Linked DNA regions of Callithrix jacchus. The protein of the gene in region 2 purifies or fractionates together with the protein of the main gene of each other region. This does not show direct contact. Links are inferred from orthologs where the notes say so. Each region holds a gene or a part of one and is shown on either strand. Other genes may lie near its edges.

The links.
Region 1: the proteins of AKAP7 (region 2) and PRKACA purify together in Homo sapiens (affinity purification with mass spectrometry; 4 studies listed by BioGRID and IntAct, with this or other methods). This does not show direct contact. The link is inferred for Callithrix jacchus from reciprocal best matches to the Homo sapiens genes AKAP7 and PRKACA.
Region 3: the proteins of AKAP7 (region 2) and PRKACB purify together in Homo sapiens (affinity purification with mass spectrometry; 4 studies listed by BioGRID and IntAct, counting the BioPlex papers as one, with this or other methods). This does not show direct contact. The link is inferred for Callithrix jacchus from reciprocal best matches to the Homo sapiens genes AKAP7 and PRKACB.

The regions. Positions count from the first base shown.
Region 1 is NC_133523.1:12,870,110-12,878,421, forward strand, and holds the end of PRKACA (cAMP-dependent protein kinase catalytic subunit alpha), read right to left. Parts: intron 7,081-8,312; coding exon 6,954-7,080; intron 6,865-6,953; coding exon 6,769-6,864; intron 6,673-6,768; coding exon 6,550-6,672; intron 3,434-6,549; coding exon 3,269-3,433; intron 2,571-3,268; coding exon 2,445-2,570; 3' UTR 1,044-2,444; downstream 1-1,043.
Region 2 is NC_133505.1:137,883,967-137,892,278, forward strand, and holds part of AKAP7 (A-kinase anchoring protein 7), read left to right. Parts: intron 1-3,311; coding exon 3,312-3,459; intron 3,460-8,312. UniProt on the Homo sapiens protein: Probably targets cAMP-dependent protein kinase (PKA) to the cellular membrane or cytoskeletal structures.
Region 3 is NC_133508.1:121,453,335-121,460,860, reverse strand, and holds the end of PRKACB (cAMP-dependent protein kinase catalytic subunit beta), read right to left. Parts: intron 4,186-7,526; coding exon 4,060-4,185; 3' UTR 891-4,059; downstream 1-890. UniProt on the Homo sapiens protein: Mediates cAMP-dependent signaling triggered by receptor binding to GPCRs.

The DNA of each region.
Region 1 (8,312 bases), on a different chromosome or scaffold from region 2:
AAAAGAGAGGAAAAAAAATATGCACACACTCACTCACTCGCACGCACGCACACACAGACCCGCTTCTGCTGGGCGCGCGCGGGGCCGGGGATGCGAGGAGGAGGAGGGGAGCGCCGCGCGGCCGGCCCCTCCCCGCCGCCGCCGCCGCACGCGCGCCCTGCGCCCGGGACACTCCGGCCCCCCTTCCTTCCCTCCCTCCCTCCCTCCTCCCCGCCGCCCGCCTTCCTCCCTCCCACCCCCACGCGCCCGCTTTTAAGGTGGAGCCCGGGCCCCCCGCCCGCCCCCTTTACCCTGCGCTCTCGCTCACTCTGGCTCGCTCCGGCCCCCCCTTACAACTCCCGCGCGCTTTTTAAGGAGGCGCCGCGGAGTTGGCGCCGGGGCGGGGGCGGGGGAAAAGCGGCGGGCGGGGGAGGGGGAGGGGAGTGCCGGGGGGAGGGGTGAGGGGGCGGGCAGGGCGGGCGGGCGGTGCTCGGCCGCCCTCCAGCCATTGGGCGCGGGACCCAGACGTCCCCGGCGCCCAGCCCCCCTCTCCACGCCTCCCCGGCGCGCTCCGCTCTCGGGACCGCACTTACCGGGAACTCGCCGCCCGCGGGCTGGGGCCGCCGCGCTCGCAGGGTGCTGCGGGAACCCTCTTGCTGCCGCCGCCCCCGCGTCCCTCCGGCGGGCCTGGCCCGGCGCTGAGGATGCGGAGAGGGGGCCGCGCACCCTCTCCCCCCTTCTACTCCCCTTGCCAGTGCCGCCCCCGCCGCCGCTCGGCCTCCTGGCGCGCGGGCCCCAGCGCCTCCCTAGAGCGCCCTCTCGATCCCGGGCTGGACGCCGAGGGGGCGCACCGCAGATTTGGGGACCCCGAAGCTGGGGTCAAAGGGCAGTTTGACGCTGGTTTCTCCTGCGGGGCCGAAGGAGTGCCGGAATTTCAACTAAACCCTGTTTATAAGGACTCCAGGCCAGGACCTGATTGGCCTGCACGCTGGGGTCCGAAATTCCCTCCTCAACCCCCTGGGGGTGTGTGGGTGGGTGATCGAAGTCGAGAACACCAGCGACACTTTTTTTTTTAAACAAAACTTTATTGGTAATAGTTTTCAAATATGTTTACAACAGCACACTGTTCAAGAGGAAGTCTCGTCCTTCTCAGCACACAGGTTGAATCGCCCCCGAACCCACCCGGGGCCCCGTCCCAGGCCTGAGAACTCCTCCTGGGATGGGGAGAAGTTATGAGAGGGGGAAATAAGGGGATGAACGGGGTAGTCTCCACTTTTCTATTAAGAGAGAAAAATGCACAAATGAGACTGGGGGGAGACGTGATGGACAGCTGACAGCTAAGCCGGAGGAGGGGGACCCAGGATGGCAGAGGCGGAAGCTGGTGGGTGAGTAAAACAGGCAGCTCCTCCCCAGCAGCTCTAGCCTTGAACGCCGGGCCAAGACGTGGGGGCACTTGGCCTCTTCCGTGTCCTTTTGCAGATATGCCCTCCCCACTGAGCTGAGGGAAAGCTGGACATTAAAATCTAGTGGAGAATAAAATTAAGGAGTTGGGGGAAATTGCTGCTGGGAGGAAAGACTTGGGCTTGGGGCTCCCCCTCTGTCTTTTTGGGGGATGACTCCTCTTTGGCAGGGAGAGGGACAGCTGCTTTGTCTGGCTCTCAAAGCCCAAGGGTGAAGACAGGTCTGCTGGGGAAGAAGAGAGCGGAGGATTCCTAAAGGGGACTAGACCCTCGCAGGATTGGCAGAGAGGATCCCCCAGGGAGGGTCCCAGAGGAGATTAGCAGCTCAGCGGGGAGGTTCAAACCCCAGCGCCTCCCTTTCCAAAGTCAGTCTGCTTCTCATTAAAATGGATTGGGGAATGGGGGGACATGGGAGGGGTGGGAGTAGAGGAGGGAGGGAGGGAGGCACTGGTGGAACTTAAATAAGATTTTAAATCGTTTTTAAAAAAATTCTAGCAAGCAGCCCACTAAACATGTCACTAAAAATCTCTCCTTCCCAGGCAGGATTACTCCAAAGGGAAGGTTGGCGCTTTGTTCATTTGCCCTTAGCAAGTGGTGCCTGTGGTTGGGTGGGATGGGGGTGTGGGTGGGGGCTGGAGTTGAGTTTGAGCCCCTTTCCACACCCTGTCCCTGGATACACCAGCAAGACCTGGTCTGACTGGAGTTGAGGAACTCGTTTAAAACAGGCAGAAGTGGGCTGGGGTAGGGGCTGTGGGGGAGGAGGAAGGGAAAAATGGGAGGGGGGGGCCGGAGGGCAAAGGGGATGAGGGGGAGCAGCTGGTGTTTCTGTTCCTCCGATTATCTGGGCTTCCTGCTCCCCCTAACCCTGGAGGGTGGGGTGGGGGTGAAATTAGATGCAAGGAACTCTGGGGCCCTCTGGCTGTTCAATCCAACCCTCCCACCCCCCCCAACAACAACAACAAAAAAAGGAAAGAAATGAAAACCCATGGGGGCACAGGCACACCCCTAAAACTCATTAAACTCCTTGCCACACTTCTCATTGATGGAGACCCGGATTTCTTCTTCCTCATAGTCGTCAAAGTTACTCGTGTCCCCAGGGCCTTTAAACTTTGGTATGAAGGGAGCTTCCACCTGGAGAGGGATCAAAAACCACCCATACCTCAGCATTCAACATAATCATTATTACAACAATAAATGTGAATGGCCTAATGTTCAAGAGATAGTTACTCTGACTCAGGCCTGTGCTTAGCATTAGGTTATGGATTCCTCTTAACAACCAGAAATTCTACATGTAGCCAGCTCAAGGGGAAATTACTTCCCAGAGAGAGGCATCTTCTGCACTAGGTCATGGAATGGTCAAATGACACCAGAATTCCATTTCTAGATCCCACTGGCTCTAAGCACTCTACTCTAGGTTGCTCCTGTACCTCCCATGTTCTCTTCCCTTTCTTTCTTTCTTTCTATTTTGTTTTGAGACAGTCTCACTCTGTCATCCAGGCTGGAGTGCTTGGCTTACTGCAACCTTTGCCTCCCAGATTCAAGCAATTCTCCTGCTTCAGCCTCCTGAGTAGCTGAGATTACAAGCGCTTGGCACCATGCCCAGCTAATTTTTGTGTTTTTAGTAGAGATGGGGTTTCGCCATGTTGGCTAGGATGGTCTTGAACTTCTGACCTCAGGTGATTCACCCACCCTGGCGTCCCAAAGTGCTGGGATGACAGGCGTGAGCCTCTGAGCCTGGCCCTCTTCCCTTTCTATCTCTCTGTTGGTTGTCCTCCCTGACTCTTGGCCTGCCCCCAAATCTTCAGCAGGCTTAAGGAGGGGAGGCCCACCTTCCTCTGGTAGATGGCGATCCAGTCAGTCGTGGCAAACCACTTGTGGTTCTTGATATCGTTGACCCCATTCTTGAGGTTCCCAAAGCGCTTGGTGAGATCTACCTGCAGGAGGTTCCGCAGGAGGTCCTTCAAGTCAGAGCTGAAGTGGGAAGGGAACCGCACCTGGAGGAAGGGGTACAAGGACAGGGTGGGAAGCTGCTCTGGAACTTGGGGAGCCCAGGATGCTTCCTTCTCCATCCAGCAGTCCTACTGGGTGGGTGCCTCCAAAGCTGAGTGCCTGCTGGCATCCTGTAAAACAGCTCCTTGGGCCCACCCTAGAGTTTCTGGTTTAGGAAGTCTGATACTGTGGCCTGAGAATATGCATTTCTCAAACAACTTTTTAAAAATTAAAGAGCTAGTTACTCTAAGAAGTTTTTGGCTGGGCACAGTGGCTCACGCCTGTAATCCTAGCACTTTGGGAGGCTGAGGTGGGCAGATCACAAGGTCAGGAGTTTGAGACCAGCCTGGCCAACATGGTGAAACCCCAGCTCTACTAAAAATACAAAAATTAGCTGGGCATGGTGGTGCGTGCCTGTAGTCCCAGCTACTCCAGAGGCTGAAGCAGGAGAATTGCTTGAACCCAGAAGGTGGAGGTTGCAGTGAGCCGAGATTGTGCCACTGCACTCCAGCCTGGGCGACAGAGCAGGACTCTGTCTCAAAAAAAAAAAAGTGTTTGTAGAGACAGGGTCTCGCTACGATGCCCACGCTGGTCTCGAACTCCAAGGCTCAAATGATCCTGCTTCGGCATCACAAAGTACTGGGATTATATGCATGAACCACCACACCCAACAAGAATCTGCATTTTTTTTTTTTTCTTTGAGGCAGAGTCTCACTTTGTCACCCATGCTGGAGTGCAGTGGCGCAATCTCAGCTCATTGTAACCTCCGCCTCCTGGGTTCAACCAATTCTCCTGTCTCAGCCTCCCAAGTAGCTGGGATTACAGGCGCACGCCACGAGACCCAGCTAATTTTTATATTTTTACTAGAGACAGAGTTTTGCCATATTGGTCAGGCTGGTCTCGAACTCCTGACCTCAGGTGATCCACCCACCTTGGCCTCCCAAAGTGCTAGGATTACAGGTGTGAGCCATCGTGGCTGGCCCAAAAGTCTGCATTTCTAGCCAATTCCCCAGCAATAGTCCTGCTGGAAAGGAGTCCCCTTTAACAACCATAAGGCAAGTGCTATTATGGTTTCCATTTCAGAGAAGGGGAAACTGAGGCTTGGAAGGGTTAAAGAACTCTTCAAAGGTCACGCTGAGGAGTGGGACGGGGCAATTCCATCTCAGGTCTGTGGGACTCTAGAACTTGCATTCTCAGCTACTGCTGCCGTAAGCCATCTGTGCTGGGGTCTGTAGACTTCTGAAATAGTCATGCTTATGTTAAACGTTTTTCCCTCTCTCCCTGCCTAGCTAAGTCTCTTCCATTCTTTAAAGCCCAGCCCAACTCTTGTAGAAATCTTCCCCAAACGTTCTGAGTACATAGCCTTGTAGACAAGTCGTCACTGGAGTTATAGTTGCAAGAAATGACTTCTTGTTCCTGCTGTGCCTCTTACATGCTGTGTGACCTTGGCCATGGCCCTTAACCTCTCAGGGCTGCACGAGGAAGATAATACCACTGAGGGTGCGGGGGGACTGGAAAATGCTACAAAGAAGGGCATCATGTGCGTCTTCCCCTGTGGGATCTTCTGTGGCTTTTTTCTCCATTTTTTCCCACTCTGGGCCATTTTCTTGGCAATTTCTATTCGGCCTAGTGGCAAATGCCTCATCTTTCCTTTTCTTTTTTTCTTTTTTTTTTGAGAGATGGAGTCTTGCTCTGTTGCCCAGGCTGGAGTGGAGTGGTGCAATCTCAGCTCACTGCAACCTCCGCCTCCTGGGTTCAAGCAATTCTCTGCCTCAGCCTCCCTAGTGGCTGGGATTATAGGCACCCGTCACCATGCCTGGTTAATTTTTTGTATTTTTAGTAGAGATGGGGTTTCACCATTTTGGCCAGGCTGGTCTTGAACCCCTGACCTCGTGATCTACCTGCCTTGGCCTCCCAAAGTGCTGGGGTTACAGGTGTGAGGCACTGTGCCTGGCCTTCCATCTTTCCCTTTTAGTGATGCTATGTGTCTAACCAGAGAACCCCAGTTGCCTGAATTTTTTTAAGACAGGATCTGGCTCTTAGCCCAGGCTGGATTGCAGTGGTGCAATCACAGCTCATTGCAGCCTTGATCTTTTGGGCTCAAATGATCCTCCTGCCTCAGCCTCCCGATTAGCTGGGACTAGGGGTGCACCATCATGCCCAGCTAATTTTTAGATTTTATTTTTTAAAGAGATGGGGTCTGGCTATGTTGCCCTGGCTTGTCTGGAACTCCTGGCCTCAAGCCTCCACCTCCCAAGGTGGTGTGATTACAGGCGTGAGCCATTGCACCCAGCCCCAAAGTTTCAAAGCCAGCACTGGGCCCAGGCTGAGCCTGAGGGTGCTCCCACCGGGTGTGGTGACTCTGGGCCGACCAGAAGCTCCTATGTAGGAGATGCTGGACCAGGTCGGAGGATGGCTGGGTCCTCCCAGCAAGGTGGCTGAGCTGAGGGCAGAGGTGGGGTCCCCAACCTCTCTGGCCATCAGTGCCTATGATGACTCCTCTTACTCACTAAGGTGTGATCTTGGTCAGGACACATCTCTTTTCCCAGCCAGTTTCCTCACCTCTCCTACAGAGGGTGCCACCATCTCAGGGTGTGACTGAGGGGGGTGAATCTGGGGCCTGGCAGATGGCAGGCACTTTGCACCTGTCACAGATACAAGCTTACATGGTTTTACCACCCTTAATCTGAACTTTCAGAGTTTGACAAATCTGTGTTTTCGAGAGGAAGCATGGGCCTTAAACCCTAAGCGAGGGTCCTTCCTGGTGAGGCTGCAGACTGCACCTGGGAACCAAATACATCTTGGAACTTGCGAAAACTCACACTGACGGGGACAAGGAGAGGTGAGGAGGGTCGCCTGGCAAGGTGGTTTGTGTTTTGCAGCAGGGAAGTTCCCGTGAGGCTCGGGATTTTGGAAGCCCCTGGGATTCTGGAACCGTGGGGTTGGCGCTGGACAGCCAGGGGGCTCATGGTATTGGCACATCCAGCTTCACCACCTGGCCTGACTTACGGAACTTCTAGGTGATTCTGACAACAAGCAGGGCTCCCCAGAGAGTAGGATGGGTGAGCGGGGAAGGGACTGTCTCATTCTTTCAGGACTGTGCCCCTCATCCAGGCCTCACCTTTCCAGAGACGATCTTCTCATAGATCTGGATGGGCTGGTCTGCGAAGAAGGGCGGGTAGCCAGCGGCCATCTCATAGATAAGAACCCCTAGGGCCCACCAGTCCACAGCCTTGTTGTAGCCCTGGAGTGAGATTGGGAGGGAACAGGGTAAGGCGGGGGCGAGAGATAGCGAGCAGAGCCAGCCTCAGGGGAAGGGGAGGGCTGGGGAGGCGCCTACTTTGCTCAGGATGATCTCGGGGGCCAGGTACTCAGGGGTCCCACATAAGGTCCAAGTGCGGCCCTTCACACGCTTGGCGAAACCGAAGTCTGTCACCTGTGGGCACAAGAATAAGCAGTTGGCAGGGAGGGAGGGGCCAGGCCACGGCTTGCCCAGGGCTGCCCCTCGCCCGGCCTGGTGGACACCTGAATGTAGCCCTGCTGGTCGATGAGCAGATTCTCTGGCTTCAGGTCCCTGTAGATGAGATCCAGCGAGTGCAGATATTCGAAGGTCAGGACGATCTGGGCCGCGTAGAAACGGGCATGGGGCTCACTGATGGGGACAAACGGGGAGGTGAACGTCAATGGCCAGGCCCCAAAAGGGTCTAGCAGGTGGCCCTGCAGAGCCTCCCCCAGGGGAAGACACCCCCAGTCCAGCTGTCAGAAAGGCCAGGCACCTGATTCTTAGGTGGCCCGACCTGGGAAACAGCCTGTAGGTCCATCCACAGGGGAATGGAATCACAGACTGAGCTCTATTCATACAATGGAATTCCACTCAGCACCACCACCGCCAGCAGGACATTGCCTGCCTCCACTCCACAACGTGGCTGCATTTCAAACCGATTATGTTAAGTAAGAGAAGACACAAAAGAACACGAATGATTCCATTTATGTCATGTCCACACCCAGACAAAACAAAGGCACGGTGTTTGAAGTCAAAGGATGACTGCCTTTGTCGGGGACCTGACGTGTCAGGAGAGGGAGTCAGTCGGGCACATTAGCTCACGCCTGTAATCCCAATATTTTGGGGGGCTCAAGGTGAGCAGATCGCTTGAGCCCAGGAGTTCGAGACCAGCCTGGGCAGTACAGCAAGACCCCACCTTTGCTTATTATTGGAGGGAAAAAGAAGGGATTCAAGAGAATTTTCTGGGGAGATAGAAAAAGTTCCATATACTGTTTTGGATGGAGGTTAGGTGGCTGTGTACAACTGTCAACATTTGTGGAATGTAACACTGGAGATCTGTGCATTTTATTGTATATAAAGTGAATCTACAGCTATCTATCTAAAATACAACTACAGGGCCAGCACCATGGCTCAGACCTGTCACCACAGCACTTTGGGAGGCCGAGGGGTGCAGATCACCTGAGGTCAGGAGTTTGAGACCAGCCTGACCAACATGGAGAAACCCCGTCTCTACTAAAACTATGAAAATTAGTCAGGTGAGGTGGCCTGCACCTGTACTCCAGGCTACTCAGGAGGCTGAGATGGAGAATCGCTTGAACCCGAGAGGCAGAGGTTGCGGTGAGCCGAGATCGTGCCACCGAACTCTAGCCTGGGTGACAAGAACGAAACTCTATCTCAAGAAATAAAATAAAACAAAATGACATTTGTAAACTTACAAGTTTGTAAGTTAAAAAAATTTTTTTTCTTTGAGCAGGGTCTCTGTTACCCTGTCTGGAGTGTTGTAGTGTGATCGTGGCTCACTGCAGTCTTGACCTCCCAGGCTCAGCGTGTCTTTCCACCTCAGTGTCCCCACTAGCTGGGACTACAGGCATGTGCCACCA
Region 2 (8,312 bases):
GAGATCCAGGAATGCCAAGCTTACTATCAATAGGACAAATAATTTCTTATATGAAGCCCGTTCAAATAAATCTTGTATGAAATCCATTCATATTTTCCTCATGGAAGTTGTGATTGTTATAACAAGTAACAATATGAAGTTATGTTCTATTACAAAAAAGTTTCAGCCCTCTTAATATTAATTTCTATTATTTAGACAAAAAGTTTGTCATAAAAATTAAAGATGAATAAATGTACCTTTTGAACATTAAATGATTTTCACTTTGAGAATTTGAACTTACATATTTTGTGACTGTATTAAAAATAGGGTCAGAGGCATAGTAATATAAGTGTGAGTGAGCCTTTTTGGGCACATATTATGCACATCATTTAGCTAAATGTAAATGATATGGTGAGTGCTTCCTGAGTAAATAATTTCCATTACATATCAGATTGAGCCATCAGATGATTCTAAAAATACCCATGCTTTCAGTGGCATTTTCTCTGGAGTGGACTGTTTGAGTGCCAAATTACAACCAAGAATGAAATTCCTGGTTCACTGTACATTGTATCAAAGCTTATCAAGTGTTTTTGAACATCGCTGATAATTTTTTCTAAACTGTGATTGAAACTAGGCTAAAGATAAGTTAAAACTTCAGTTATTTCTAATGATTAATTAAGTAGCCTTGAAAACTTTTTTCTGTTTGACATTTCTTGCCACTGATTTATTGTTTCAAAGTCTGATATTCCATACTTAACCTCCTATTTTTCTCTTCTAATATTATGTTACATAATTGCCATGTCACTTATATTGGGTACAATTATAAATATGAAGCCCTTGAAAATATACCTTGTCCCTGTTATGTTCAAGGCAAAAATAACCTTCAAAGTACTAGACCATCACCAATCATATTCAAAATTCTAGGGTTGCAACACCAGGAGCATGATTTGTTAAAGATACCTTACATATTATTCTTCTACATTTGAAATAGTCCCAACTCTTAGCCTTTAAAGGTCAAATTTAACAATTTTCATATCCTTTGAACCCTCTTAACATTGTGTACCTCCATTGATATTTAAGTGATAGTGCCTTGGGTCTGGCCTATGATGAAGGGAAGCAGCGAATAATTTGGGGAGGTCCACAACCTGAAAATAACGCCATCACCCAGCCTTTTTAGCTTTAAAACATAATCTGGAAGGATGTTGCTTCTGAAACAATTTTGCCATCCCTCTGGATTCATTCAGAAAATAGGGCCCTTCTTAGTCTTACCCTAAATCATCCACTTTTGAGGTATCATTTATTTTCTCAGAATCATAGTCTTCCCTTTTTTTTTTTTTTTTTTAGTAAGGAAGAAAACACCACCTGTTGCAGCTTGATGGTGAGATCAATTCAGATAAATTTTATCATAAAAGAAATATATTGCCAAACAAAAAATTTCTCCAGAGAATGAAGATCATGTTGATACTGTAATTTATATCAGACAGTGCAGAGGTTTAGCTATTTCTAGATTGTTTATTGCTAAAGATTTTTCTGATCAGGGCATGTAATTTCAGTGCCTTCTAAAGGCATCATGCCTTTTCAACCATAGCTCTCTCTATAAATTATGAGTTAAGGAATTCTGTTTCACTTGGTAGTAGAAGTTAACTCCTGAAGACTCATGTTGGAAGTCATCTGTGAAATATTCTTGCAAAACAATTGGTGTTTACCTTTTGTGGAAATTAAATTAGTAAGCCTAGAATATTAGAGTCAATCTCATGTTTTATTTCTTACTTTAAAAAAAAGACATTTTGCAAAACTGATGTGAAGATTATAGTGATAGTGGCTCATCAGTGCTGGCACCGGTTTCTTGAAAATTGAAGGTTCTTATTTATCTGCTATGTTATCACCAGTCTTATCGCCAGTCTAAAGGAATGATTCTCTCCAACCCACACACCCCTACACACACACACACAAGCATTTAAAAGACAAGAATGGTTGGTCATTTTCCATTTACTCAGAATGTTTTTATATTTGAAGTCTTATCTTGACTGAAGTTATTACATGAAGTTCACTAATGATAATAGTGACTATATGAATGTATGTTTATATGTATATAATTCATTATATTTCATTGTTTTAAGTACTTTTAGAAATTAACTTAGTCTCATAACACTTGGAGGTAAGTGGGAGAGATTAGGAGCCCAGTTTTAGATATTGAACAAAAACATATCAACAAAAACTCGTTTAATATATAGTATTAAAAATTAAGAGCAACCTAAATGTCCAATAGTAAATAATTGAATGAATAAATTATGAGACTTCCATGCAATGAAGTTCTATGGAGAGAAATAATTGGCACATCTGTATATTATTTACTGACACAGCATATTTACTGAAAATATAAAGCTGGTTATCAAATAGTACTCAGGGAGCAACCACGTTCTATAGAAGAGAAAAAAATATGCTTTGTTTTTGCATAGGAAAAACTAAACGCATAAAACTATAGCAGTAGCAGTTTGTAATGATTTTTTTTGTTTTTATCAATTTTTTTCTATTAACTAATTTTCTAAGTAAGTTTTTGTTAGTGAAAAGAGAAAATATGTATTCTAGTTACCTTCATCTTATGGACTGTATTTTGGGACTCTGAGGCCAAGTTGCAGGGCCATTGTATAGTATAGCAGAGGTAGAGATACTCTTTCCCGTATTTGGGAAATTACAGAGGTACCAAGGACATCCCACTGTAATTTTTCAACAACCATCTGTTTCTGCTAAGAAAATACACTGAAAATAACGAGGAGCAGGTAGAAAGAACTTGGAAGATCCACTCACCTCCCTACTCCAATTCAAGTCGTCTTTAATTGTCTTTCAGATGATTCTAACATAAGGAATTTAAAAATTGTGTCTGTCTTATTAGAACATTTTCCCACTATAGAATGTTAAGATCTACCTTACTTTTTAAAGATTTATTTTATTTTATTTTTTCCTACCTTGCTTTAAAAAAATTGATCCATTTCTCCATTATTGTTGGGGATGGTTAGTCTTTCCTTGGTATCTCAAGTTTTAACTCAGTATACTTATTTTCAGAGCTTAAAATGTATTAAGTTCAGAAAAACTGCCAAATTTAAACCTAACACTTTTTATTGATGGTTTTAAAATACAACTCATTCTAGGCAGGGAGACTTGAAAAACAACTTTATAACGATTTTGTTGTTATGTATCCATTTTCAAGTGCCTGTAGGCAGTGGTGTACTTTATACCAAAATGTAATAATCAGGTTCTAAGAAAATGATGTAACTATGAATTGGCTGCCTGGGTAAAATGATTGATTGATTTATTTGTTTTTTCATTTCAAGGGAGTGAAAAAAATAGATCCTGATTTATATGAAAAGTTTATCAGTCACAGATTTGGAGAAGAAATATTATATCGCATAGATCTTTGCTCCATGGAGAAGAAAAAACAAAGTAATGGTTATTATCACTGTGAATCTTCCATTGTGATTGGTGAGTGTCATTTAGAAAATTATTTATTATATTTATTTTTAATTTCCTTGGCATCACTTTTATCTTGGCAAATATTTAAACTTAGTTGTATATGTTTTTCTCAATGATATACTTTCCTAAATACTATCTATGTATTGACAATGATACATTGGAAATTTTCTAGAGCATTTTTAGTATTTATATTGATAAGTTAAGATTTTACTACCTATTGTTTTTATACCCTGGCTTTAAATATAATTATAATGAAGTCTGGAAATGTTGATTTAGAAATCATTTCAACTTAATTTTATTTCGTGAACATGAAGAAACATTTTCTCCAGGGAAGACCTCCATGACCTTCCACACCACACATTTTTGTATCTGCTGCTTATAATTAGGAAAAAAGGACCCTGGCCAGAAAGTTTCACCTTGAAAAGAGAAAATGTAAGTGGCCTGCAAAAATTGAAAACTTCAATTTCTTCCCTAATAAAGATGTTTTGAGGGGAAGCAAAGATTCATACATAAATGCATCTGTCAGATGGCATGAGATGAGACAGCCTCATATAAAACTGTTTCTAGGTGGAAAGTGTATACACTTACAGAGATCTTTCATCCAGAATAGAACCATTTTCTACATTTTGCAATGTGAATGCATTTCAAAGGAGCCAGCTCTGTTGTGATTCAGATTTATTATTTCAAACCAGACACTATTCTTTTAAAATTGTGAACCTTCAAAACAAACTGATTTGTATTCTTTTAAAATAACATGAAAATACTCAAAGAAGACAAATACAGGCATACCTTGTTTTATTGTCTTTTGCTTTGTTGCGCTTCTCAGGTAATTGCCTTAAAAAACACAGTTTATTTATTTAATTTTAACAGATTGAAGGTTTGTAGCAACTGTGTATCAGTTGTCTTTCTGGGCTGTTTTTCCAACAGCATGTGCTCTTTTTGTGTCAATTACATTTTGGTAATTCTCACAACATTTTAGACTTCATTATTATTTTATCTGTTACGGTGATCAATGGTATTTGATATTATCATTGTTATTATTTTGGGGGACTGCCATATGAATTGTATTCATATATCAAATCAAATAGATAAATGTGTGTGTTCTGACTGCTCCATCGAACAGCCACTCCCTGGTGAAGAGTTGTACATCTCTTAACTTAAATCAAAAGGTAGATATGCTACATTGGAAGGACATGCAAGAAAGAAAAAAAAGCTAGAAATGATTAAGCTTAGGGAGGAAGGCATGTCGAAAGCTAAGATAGTCCGAAAGCTAGGCTTCTTGTACCAGTTAGCCACGTTGTGAATGCCAAGGAAAAGTTCTTAATGGAAATTAAAAGTGCTACTCCAAAGAACACACAAGTCTTGAGAAAGTGAAATAGCCTTATTGCCTATATGGAAAAAGTTTTAGTGGTCTAGATAGAAGATCAAACCAACCACAACATTCCCTTAAGCCAGAGCCTAATCCAGTGTAGGGCCCAAACTCTCTTCAATTCTGTGAAAGGTGAGAAAGGTAAGCAAGGTGCAGAAGAAAAGCTGGAAACCAGCAGAGGCTAGTTCATGAAATTTAAGGTAATAAACTGTCTCCATAACATAAAAGTGCATGGTGATGGAGAAAGTGCTGTTGTAGAAGCTGCAACCAGTTATCCAGAAGATCTGGCTAATATCATTTTTGAAGGTGGCTCTTCGAAACAACAGATTTTCAATGTAGACAAAACACCCTTTTTTGGAAGAAGATGCCTTCTAGGACTTTCATAGCTACATAAGAGAAGTCAGTGCGTGATTTCAAAGTATCAAAGAACAGGCTAACTCTCTTGTGAGGGGCTAATGCAGCTAGTGACTTTTAAGTTGAAGCCAGTGCTCACTGTCCACTTAAAAAATCCTAGGGACCTTTAGAATTATGCTAAATTCACTCTGCCTGTGCTTTATAAATGAAACAGCAAAGCTTGGATGACAGCACATCTGTTTATAGCATGGTTTACTGAATATTTTAACTACTGCTCAGAAAAAGAAAGATTCCTTTCAAATGATTGCTGCTCAGTGACAGTGCACCTGGTCTCCCAAGAACTCTGATGGAAATGTACAAGGAGCTTAGTGTTATTTTCATGCCTGCTAACACAACGACTATTCTGCAGCCCATGGATCAAGGAGTAATTTAGACTTTCAAGCCTTATTATTTAAGAAATATTTTTGTAAGGCTATAGCTCCCATGAATAGTGATTCTTCTGATAGATCTGAGCAAAGCAAATGAAAAAACTTCTGGAAAGGTTTCACCATTCTAGATGTCATTAAGAACACTTACAGTTCCTAGGTGGAAGTTAAAATAGCAACATTAATAGGAGTTTGGAAGAAGTTGATTCCAACCCTCATGGATGATTTTGGGAGGTTCAAGACTTCATTGGAGGAAGTAACTGCAGATGTGATAGAAACAGCAAGAGAACTAGAATAAGGAGTGAAGCCTGAAGATGGAATTGAATTGCTGTAATCTCATGATAAAATTTTAGTGGATGATGAGTTGCTTCTTATGAATGAACAGAACAAGTGGTTTCTTGAGATGGAATCTACTCTTGGTAAAGGTCCTTGAACACTGTTGAAATGGCAACAAAGAATTTAAAATATTACATTAACTTAGTTGCTAAAACAGTGGCTTTAAAGGGTTTGAGAGAATCAACTCCAATTTGAAGAAGTTTTACTGTGGGTAAAATGTTATCAAACAGCATCCCATGCTACAGAGAAATCTTTCATGAAAGGAAGAGTCGATTGATGCAGCAAAGTTCATTATTGTCTTATTTTAAGAAATTGTCACAGCCATTCAACCTCCAGCAAGTACTACCTTGATCAGTCAGCAGCCATCAACATCAGCAGACAAGACCCTCCACCAGCAAAAAGATTACGACTGGCTTAATTCTCAGATGATTGTTAGCATTTTTGGCAATAAGGTGTATTTAAATTAAAATGTGTACATGTTTTAGATATAATATTGCACACTTAATAGACTGCGATATAATGAAACATAATTTTATATGTACTAGGAAACTAGATGATTCATGTGACTTGCATTATTGCAGTGTTTGCTTTATTGCAGTAGTCTGGAACTAACCCATAATATCTCTGAGGTATGGCTGTATATGTAGCTAAATATTGCAAGGTCTTTAACCAAGGTACTTTATCTCCACATCAGCTTGAAGAACACCTATGGATGTATACATCCTGAAAGAATTTTAATACTGACATTTATTAAAGCATTTAAAAATGTTCAGGAGACACAATTTTACTTCCAATTTTTCATTAGAGATTTTCAGAGGTCCTCATTTTACCTTTCAAATACTTCAGCTATTTTAAACAGAAGATATTCAATATGTCGTATGAATTTTATATTCTGAAACATCTCAAGTCTATTTTAAGGAGAATTTTTGTGTTTTCAGAATCTGTAAGAGAGCTGTCTTCCATCCAAGTTTTGATGAGGACCAAACATTTCTGTTTAGGTTCATTGTAAATGAAAAATATAGATACTTCTTGTGTAGGACAGATTTTGGCTAGCTTCCCCATCTTCCCTGCAGTTTATGGCCAACTTGTAGGAGATGCAATGCCTCATTACCTCTCTCACTCCTATTTTAAAAAATTAGGAATATGTTGATATTAGTGAAAATATTGCAGGGCTGGCATTATAAAGCTTATATTCATAGATTACCTAAATTGCCACTGGACAGTTCTGTTCGGCCTACCACCCACCATCACTGTGTTCAAGCCACTGAGATTTTGCTTTTATTGCTCTTTTAACTTATAGTCTTTATAATTTCCCCTTATTTGAGGTAGTTTCTCCAGATCTTTCCATCAAGTTTCATTATTGCTGCTATTGTTTCTAATTCAGAACAATTTTGCCTTTTTCAAACGCTGCCAATCTTGAATCCCCATGCCAGTCATTTCACATTCTTTTGAAAAATTATTTGTGCCTATTACAAATGCTTTTGTGGGTCACATTTGGTGATGGTAATATGAACTTTAAAATCGTATCTGCATCTAAAGTGATAACTTATTGGTATAATTAACAAAGTTTAATGTACATGAGTTCTTTTATTTGCTTATAGATAATTAATTAATTTTCTGAATCTCACCTATATTTTATAACAGAATATCAGGATTTGGGACACTTTGTTTTATTTCTTAATCAGATTTAATTGGCTTACCTTGGTTTGGCTTCTCTTTGATTTGATCCTAACTCAAATTTAATGTCAGTTTCTTGAGCCTTGAGCCAACATTTTATTGTATTCATTAATATAGTGGGACAGATTTCAGATCTCAAGATATTTTGTATTCAGAGTTCTGGGGTAGAAGTTGGGCCTCAGGGATATATAAAACTTTGTATGTAGGTACATGTGTGAATTTTTCTGGGGAGATAATTTAGATTTCATTAGATTTGTGTATTTCCTACCTTTGTTTGTTAATGGTACATTCTTGGAGAGTGCTAGATTACAAGTCACTGATTTTCTCTTCAGCCGTCTCTATTATACCACTTAAGACATCTTAAAAAAAAGACTACATATGCTATATTTGCAAGGTTTCCAGTTGATTCACTTTGTTTTTTTGAAACAGAGTGTCGTTCTGTCACCCAGGTTGGAGTGCAGTGGCTCAATTTTGGCTTACTGCAACCTTTGCCTCTTGGGTTCAAGTGATTCTCCTGCAGTCTCCTGAGTAACTGGGCATGCACCACCACCCCCAGCTAATTTTTTTATATTTTTAGTAGAGACAGAGTTTTGACATTTTGGCTAGGCTGGTCAACTCCTGACCTCAGATGATCTACCCATCTTGGCCTCCCAAAGTGCTGGGATTACAGGCATGAACCACTGTGCCTGGCCTCCAGTTAG
Region 3 (7,526 bases), on a different chromosome or scaffold from region 2:
TTAAAGACCTTATCTCCTAAAACAATCATATGGTAAGTTATTAGTGGTTAGAATTTCAGTATGAATTTTGTTCACAGCTCACAATCCAGGCCATAACACCATGCATAAATGCCATTAAATAAGCATATGGAAAATCTTCAAAAAAGTTTAAATGAAAATAAGTACTTAACTTCATATCCAGTATTTGTGCACAAGAGAAAATTTACAGTTAAATAGATTTCAAATGATGATAGTTCTGCAGTGAAGACATACCTAGATTTTTGTAATCAGTTTTATAAGGAAATGAAAAAACTGCAATTTATATTAAGCCCTGATAATGATAAAATGAAGTGAGCACTGGTATAAAAATAGTAAGCTCCATGTTATAAAATGCATAAATATAAATGTTTTGAGAACAATCATACAAAATGGCAAGCCATTAAAATTATCTAAAGAAATGAGTATTTCATGAGGTAAAGGCCAACTATGGAAATACACACTAATTAACTTGGCTAAAATGAAAAGAGGTAATGTGTAGTTCAAAAACACTCCTGAAGAGAAAATTAGAAATTAATAGTTCATTGTTACAGTATAAGGATAACAGCTCTTGAAGTATCAAATCCTTTAAATATGAATATTTAGAACATTGTGTTAGGAGTAATCTGAACCAATATGAGAAATGAGAAGGAAGTAGAAATACTTTTGAGAAACTATGAAATGAATCTAGCAGTTTCTTAGTAAACATCTAGTGTGAGTAAACTGGTGGATATATTCCTTGTCCATTTGCTCTGCTCCCACCACCCAGAAACCAACCCAAATACATAAAAACTAGGAATCTATAAGTATCTCTTGTATCAGCGGAAAATAAATCAGAAGATAAGGGCATCAAGCAGAATTCAAGACTCAATCAATTGTCTTATCCGTTGAAGAGACTTTAATTTTGCAGTTATTGATTAATTAAAAAACACAGTTGTTTTCAGCATTTCCTAGCTACAGTAGGGCATAGGAAATTCCACTCTAAACAAAGAAGTAATTAATGAAATAACAACACACCTTAACATTTTACATGGATAGGTTACAGTTTACAAGGTGCTTTCACATACATTATTTCATTTGATTCTTACAACAAGCAGAAAAAACAGTGGGAAAGGAATTTTTTTTTTCAGGCTTACAATGAGTATTTTCAGGCCAATGGGCAGTCAATACAAGAATATACCAAGAATGAGACAGCAATACCCATAAGCCACAGTATCTTTTTTGGTAGGTTGACAGTTTGATGCAACTGGGTATTCAGCATCAGTGAATGAGAAAGGAATTAGGACAGACCCCAAGGTTCTTATGATATTCAAAGTATTTTAAGAACACTGTCAGAGATAAGAAGAAAGATGCCCTAAAATGTATCACCTTACTGAGACTTGCTTCAAAGCAATATATCCTTTCAAAATACCAGATAAAAAGGCAATCTTGTCAACAACTGTGAAAGTTAGGAGGAATCTTACAAACTGCCTAATCCAATTCTTGCATTTTACAGATAAGAGAACTGAGGCTGAGATCATACTGTTTTCCAGCCTGAAACTCAGATGTCTTGACTTTCAGTCTAGGGCTCCTTCTTCTACAATGCCATCTCTTAATCATTTACTGAGCATAATATAATATCTTCTGTTTTAAATAATGTAATTTGAGGTTAAATACTGATTTATGCTACTTATTTCTTATTCAAGTTTTTAACCTGTTCTTGGCTAAATTGGGGCTCAAATTGGGAATTTTACATACTTTAAAAATATTCTAATTTAGTGTACTTGAGTGGTCAGAAATGAACTCCCTTGACTTATTTGCTCATGACAAGCTTGCTCATGTCCTTTAAATAGAGTGGCCTTAAAATGGAATGGCTGAATAGCCCTCAAAAGCAATATATGTCTAGGGGTCATCTACCTAAGGTAGATTCTATCATTGGGCACTAGTAATTTCATAGAAAAAAATATTTTTTAGAATTCATAGAAATCTTTTTGATTACTGAAAACTAAATTGTAATAATCAAATTGTCATCCCCATGACTTATTAAAATAATTTTACAATAATATACAACAAAGCTACCATAGAATTTGTAGTTTACATATAGAATACATTGGTCAGCATGTTCTTGGGTCTTAATGAAATACAAGAAAATTAAAATATTTTATACAAATGACGTTTTAAATTTATTAACATGATGATATGCTTTTGTTACACAAAACTTGCTAGAGCAGAATATTTTAAATTGCACATTTTAAATATAGATGGACCAGTGAAATCAATATTGGCCTTTACGTGACATTACCATGCAGAAACACTTGATAACCGAAAGACATATAGATTGGTAAAAGAACATCTCAGACAGGATTTTTTTTAAGTCTTCAAAGATTTTACAAGGGTGTGGTACGTATGAGAAGTGATGTGAGTGACCTACCTGCACCGATAATAAAGCAAATAGAATGGTTATATACATTAAGATCAGTTTGATTAAAAACAACTCACTTTATATGCATGTAAATTGATCATAAAAATGAACCTAGTTTAACTCTTCTTGTGTGTAGTTTTAAGGTAGGTCACTGAAACAGAGGTAAAATCAGATGGGGAAAATTAAAAGCAAAGAAAAAGCAAAACAACTGAGTTAAGCCATGGATTCTCAACAAACACTGAAATAAATGTGCAAAAGTGCTTGAAATTTCCACCTGACAGCAATGTTGTTGAGTCAGTTGGCAAAAAAGGTGTAGGAAAAAAACTAACCTCTCAAATACTAAAATTGTATCTGCACGATCGTTTAGACATTCTGTTTATTGAGAGAAAAGAGGTTAGAAATGATGAACTCTCTGAAAATATCATACCTCAAAATGAAAATGCAATTGTGGCAGTTTGATACACTTTGTTCCCTTTCCTCATTGATGAGGCATGGGATGAAAGCAGAAGTTGCAGCAGTGCCCCTACCCTAGGCTCACAACTATAGTACACCAGAATCATTAGCTGGAAACAACTTCTTTCATTTTTAACGGTTACAAAACAAAACAGTTAACCCTCATTTAAAGATAAGTACCTCTATATTGTTGCAATAATCAAGCCTTTTTTTGACTTTGAAAAGTATAAGTATTTATCCAAACCAATGTTCTTTTTAGTTTGCTTATTTTCCTTTAAAAATTTTATGATGAGAACTATAAAAGAAACTTTAAAACTTTCATTAATCAGGTTCTATTAAAATACTGGCTAAAATCCTTAAGGAACAATTAAGGTTTAGAAAACTTAAACTCTTCTCTAATACCTACAAAAATGCTGGTACCAAGTGAGAGAATCTGAGTGATGATCCATGTCATTAGTTTTTCCTGCTGAATGAGACACATTTGTCACACTACAAAGGCTGGTCACTTCATTGCTCAAGGGGAGGAGGACATAAAAGGAGGGAAAGGGAACTAGAACCTCTGATTTGTAGCAATCCAAATTTCTGGGTCTAGCTGTTTGTATTAGTCTGCCAAAATTTATTGCCAGAATAGTGAATTCCAAGAAAGTTAGTCTTAATTTGTATACATTTCCTTGGTGATAAGACAGTCTTCAAAAATTATCAAGAGTTTTGGCAAAACCAAATCTGAGCTACTCAAAGTAAAAATAATTATTAGAAAGTTTATCTTCAAGCCATTGACCAACAACAATATTGGCATGAACTACTAAAAGCAACACTTATCCTTCCCTTCAAATATCACATAGCCATAACACTGCCCATCTGAAACACCAACAAAATAAAATGGAGCACTGTTTAGAGAAAACAATGAAACTGGAAAAGGAAGAAATGGATGTAGGAGAGGAGAAAGACAACCCAAAGAGAAGTAAGAAAGTGGTCTAGTACTGTGTTATGGCACAGACAATGCTTGCTTAGCGGTGCCTTGTTACATAGGTGGATGCAGAGTGCACACACGGGATGATGGCAATAAAGACCTCACTCAGTTGGAATGAAGGAACTGGGTAACTGCTTCAGCAAGGACGGTCTCAGCTCTACCTTATCTCTCAACAGAGTGCAATCACTGAGTGTGAGCTCGGATGTCATCTTGTTCCTCTTTAAAATTCATCAAATTCTCTTCCACATTTTTCTGTTATAGACACACGGATATCTTCTTCTTCATAGTCATCAAAGTTGCTGGTATCTCCAGAGCCTCTAAACTTTGGTATGAATGGAGCTTCAACCTATTATTGAGAGAGAGAAAAAAAAAGTGCTAAAAGAAGCAGCAAGCAGTAGGTTAGCTATTAACCTCAACATTTTCATTCAAGGAAGTATGCAGGTCAATGAAATACTTAAGAAATTTCTGGGATAATTACCAAAATCCTGGCTCCTAAAGTTATAAAACTTTAGTCCTTCCTTTTTCAGTTCCTTGTTTTTAAAAACCTTATCTTTTTCTATCCCTTTTGTAAAAATTCTTTTCTCCTGAAGTTACAGATAAATCTCAGACTTACTTTTAATTTCTTTCCTTTATTAATTCCCCAGTTTATTTTGTTTAAAATATCTGGCCATCAAAACTTTCTGAGAAGTTGGAAAGAAACATATCTCTTTTAGAATGAGAGAACTGTTAAACTTTAAACAGTTTTCTCCTTTGATCCTGAAACTAAAATGTCTTTCCAATACTTCAATTATGGTCTTCTGTAAAGATTAAATGGGGATACTGAATACATTTGAGGAAAAGATTTTAAAAACTTAAACTTAAAAAAAAATTCACAATTTGCACAGCCTTTATAGAATTTACAAACTACTACAGTTGCTTTATTTTGTTCTCAATACAACACTGTGAGGAAGGAAGGACAGGTGTTCTTACTCCCATTTTACAGATTATAAAAGAGTCAACCAAATTCACATGACTAATAAGTGGCTAAAGCAGGTTTCAAATTCATGATTCTCCACAGCTTTTTAACTTATATCCCTTTCAGTAAAACATTTTCTAGTACATATAATAGATGTAGTTATCTACTTATAAGTTATTTAGGTGCATGACTATGCTATTATATAAGATATACCTACAAATAAGGCATTTAAAAAGAATAAGGTAAAAATAAGCAGGAATGAGACTTCTCATATTATCTTTTTGTTTGACAGCTGGCTGCCTTGCATGCCCTGTTTTGGGGACTGCTGTTTTGCATGCTCCAGAAGAATGAGCTAAGCAGATAGCTGCCTACTGTCTAGCCAGCCAGCAATTTAGAATAACAAATCTATTGGGGCAATCATGTGGAGAAAATGATTGTACAGTTTGAATTGTTCAGGCCACTTCTTTGTTCTGACTTTTTTTCCCCTTGATGCATTTGGAGATGCATCAGAGAACAAAGAAGACAATGAAAACTATTCATATTTACTATGATTTTTGCACTGTTGTGCATAGTTATAATAGTTGAGAAGATATTAAAATAAATGGCTAAATTAAAGTACTCTATTATTTCTATTTGTAAATTATCCAGGGAGCCTTACATCTGTTTCACTGATAATCAAGATTCAGCTGTCAATCAATTTGTCCATTACTACAACCTGTATGTTACAATGTGGTGCTTGTTGGTAGGTTAGCTGTTTATTACCTGGGATAAGTCAAGCCCTTTGAAAAGCACATAAACTCTAAATGAGTAGTGGCAATTTAGTTCTACCCCATTTTAGAAATAATTATTAAAAACTAAACATAATATGAATAGATTAGTAAATAATTGCTATTTGGCAGAAGATTTTATTTCTAAATACAAATATGAAAAGATTCAAATACATTAGAAATCTTTAGAATACTAATAAAGTTGACAAACCTCAAGGAAGTCTAAAAATATACCTCTAAAAAGCATTAATTAACAATAAATAAAATAATAAAGGTAATATGAGTGATGATAGAAAGAAAGGGAAATGGATTTTATTGGAAACATAAATTTCTTAAATTTACTCAAGAAGTAAAAACTTGAAGAGACCAATCTCCAAGAATTAGTTTGTTAAAATTGATAAGGAATAGATATAAGATGATCCTATGTTCCTAAATTTTCTGAAGAATAAATGCATAGAAACTTCCTAAACTCATTTTTATGAATCCCATATAATCCCAGCTTCAGAAAAACAGAAACTATAGATTAATAAAACTTTTGACTATGGAAGTAAAAAGCCCAAATAAAATTTTAGCAGATAGATTCAGGCAAATATTAAAATCATACCCCCATGATTAAATGGTATTCATTCCAGGAAAGTGAGGATGTCTCCCTGATATAATTCATCACACTAACATGTTAAAAAAGATAAAATAAGTGTATTAAGAATCAACAATATTTTGTTAATCTGATAAAGAATACCTATCTCAGTCAAATGGCAAACGTTCTATTTGGTGGTAAAACATGAATGGCAACAAACTATAGAAATGATCCCTGAAAATATATTCTAGTGCATTTCAATTCAAAGCAGGAACAAAACATTAAAATATTGTTGTAGACATTTTAATAAATATAATAAAATGAAAATGGAAATGAGATATAAATACTGAAAAGGGACAGACAAAATGATATACTAATCTCTTGTGATTGTCAACAAAAATCCAAAGGAATTACTGAAAAATGTGGAAATCAGTAAGAGAATTTAGTAGATGACCAATTGTAATATAAACATAGAAATTGTTTTGCCCATATCCTACTATAATGGTAAAGCAAACACATTAATAATAGCAATCAAAATATACATTTAATCAATAACTTTAAGACATAAATTCATTCCTGTATGGAGGAAAGGGGGTTTCTAAAACTTTACTGAAGGACAAAAGATATTTGAGTAAATGCAGAAGTAACATGTTCATAATGGTAAATTCTCAAGATTCAGGTTCTCTCCTAATATTCAACTTTACTGTTAATCCCCAAATTCAATAAATCTTTAGAAAGACCAAAAATACAAACCATTGGCAAGTCTAATTAAAAAAGAAAGAGAAAACATACAAGAGATAAGGATGATTTTCTAGGAAATATAAATTACCTAATGACTCTAAAATAAAGCACATGGGGCAAGAAAACAAAAAATTTAGAAAGGGTAAACAAGGGTGAAGAAAATATTATAATATTATTTTAATATTTTTTAAATATTAAAATATTATTTAATATTTATTAAAATATTATAAAGCTACATAAAGCAGTAACATACACAGTACAAGAACAGAAAAAAAGAACTCATGAAAAATAAAGGTCAGGGCTTCATGATGGCTGACCCAGAACTCTCCTCTACAACGGACCAAAACATTGAGCAGATAATTACTTGTTGAAAAAAGCCTCTAAGATAGAGCAGTGAAATTTAGCAGGGAAGGGACAGGGAACATCTGAGGCAGAGAAGCAAAAGGAAGTAAATAGCTGGCATGGCTGGGACCAGCTGGGAGCCAGAAGAGGTTATCCAGTGTGGGGAAAGGGTAACTGAGAAATCCCCAGTGGTCTGCATTTCCACCACAGACTCTTGCAATCCTAGCCATGTAAGATGCCCACAACCCTTGTGAATTCTGACACAAGTATAGGGACCTGCCTAGAGTTCACACAACAGCACTGTT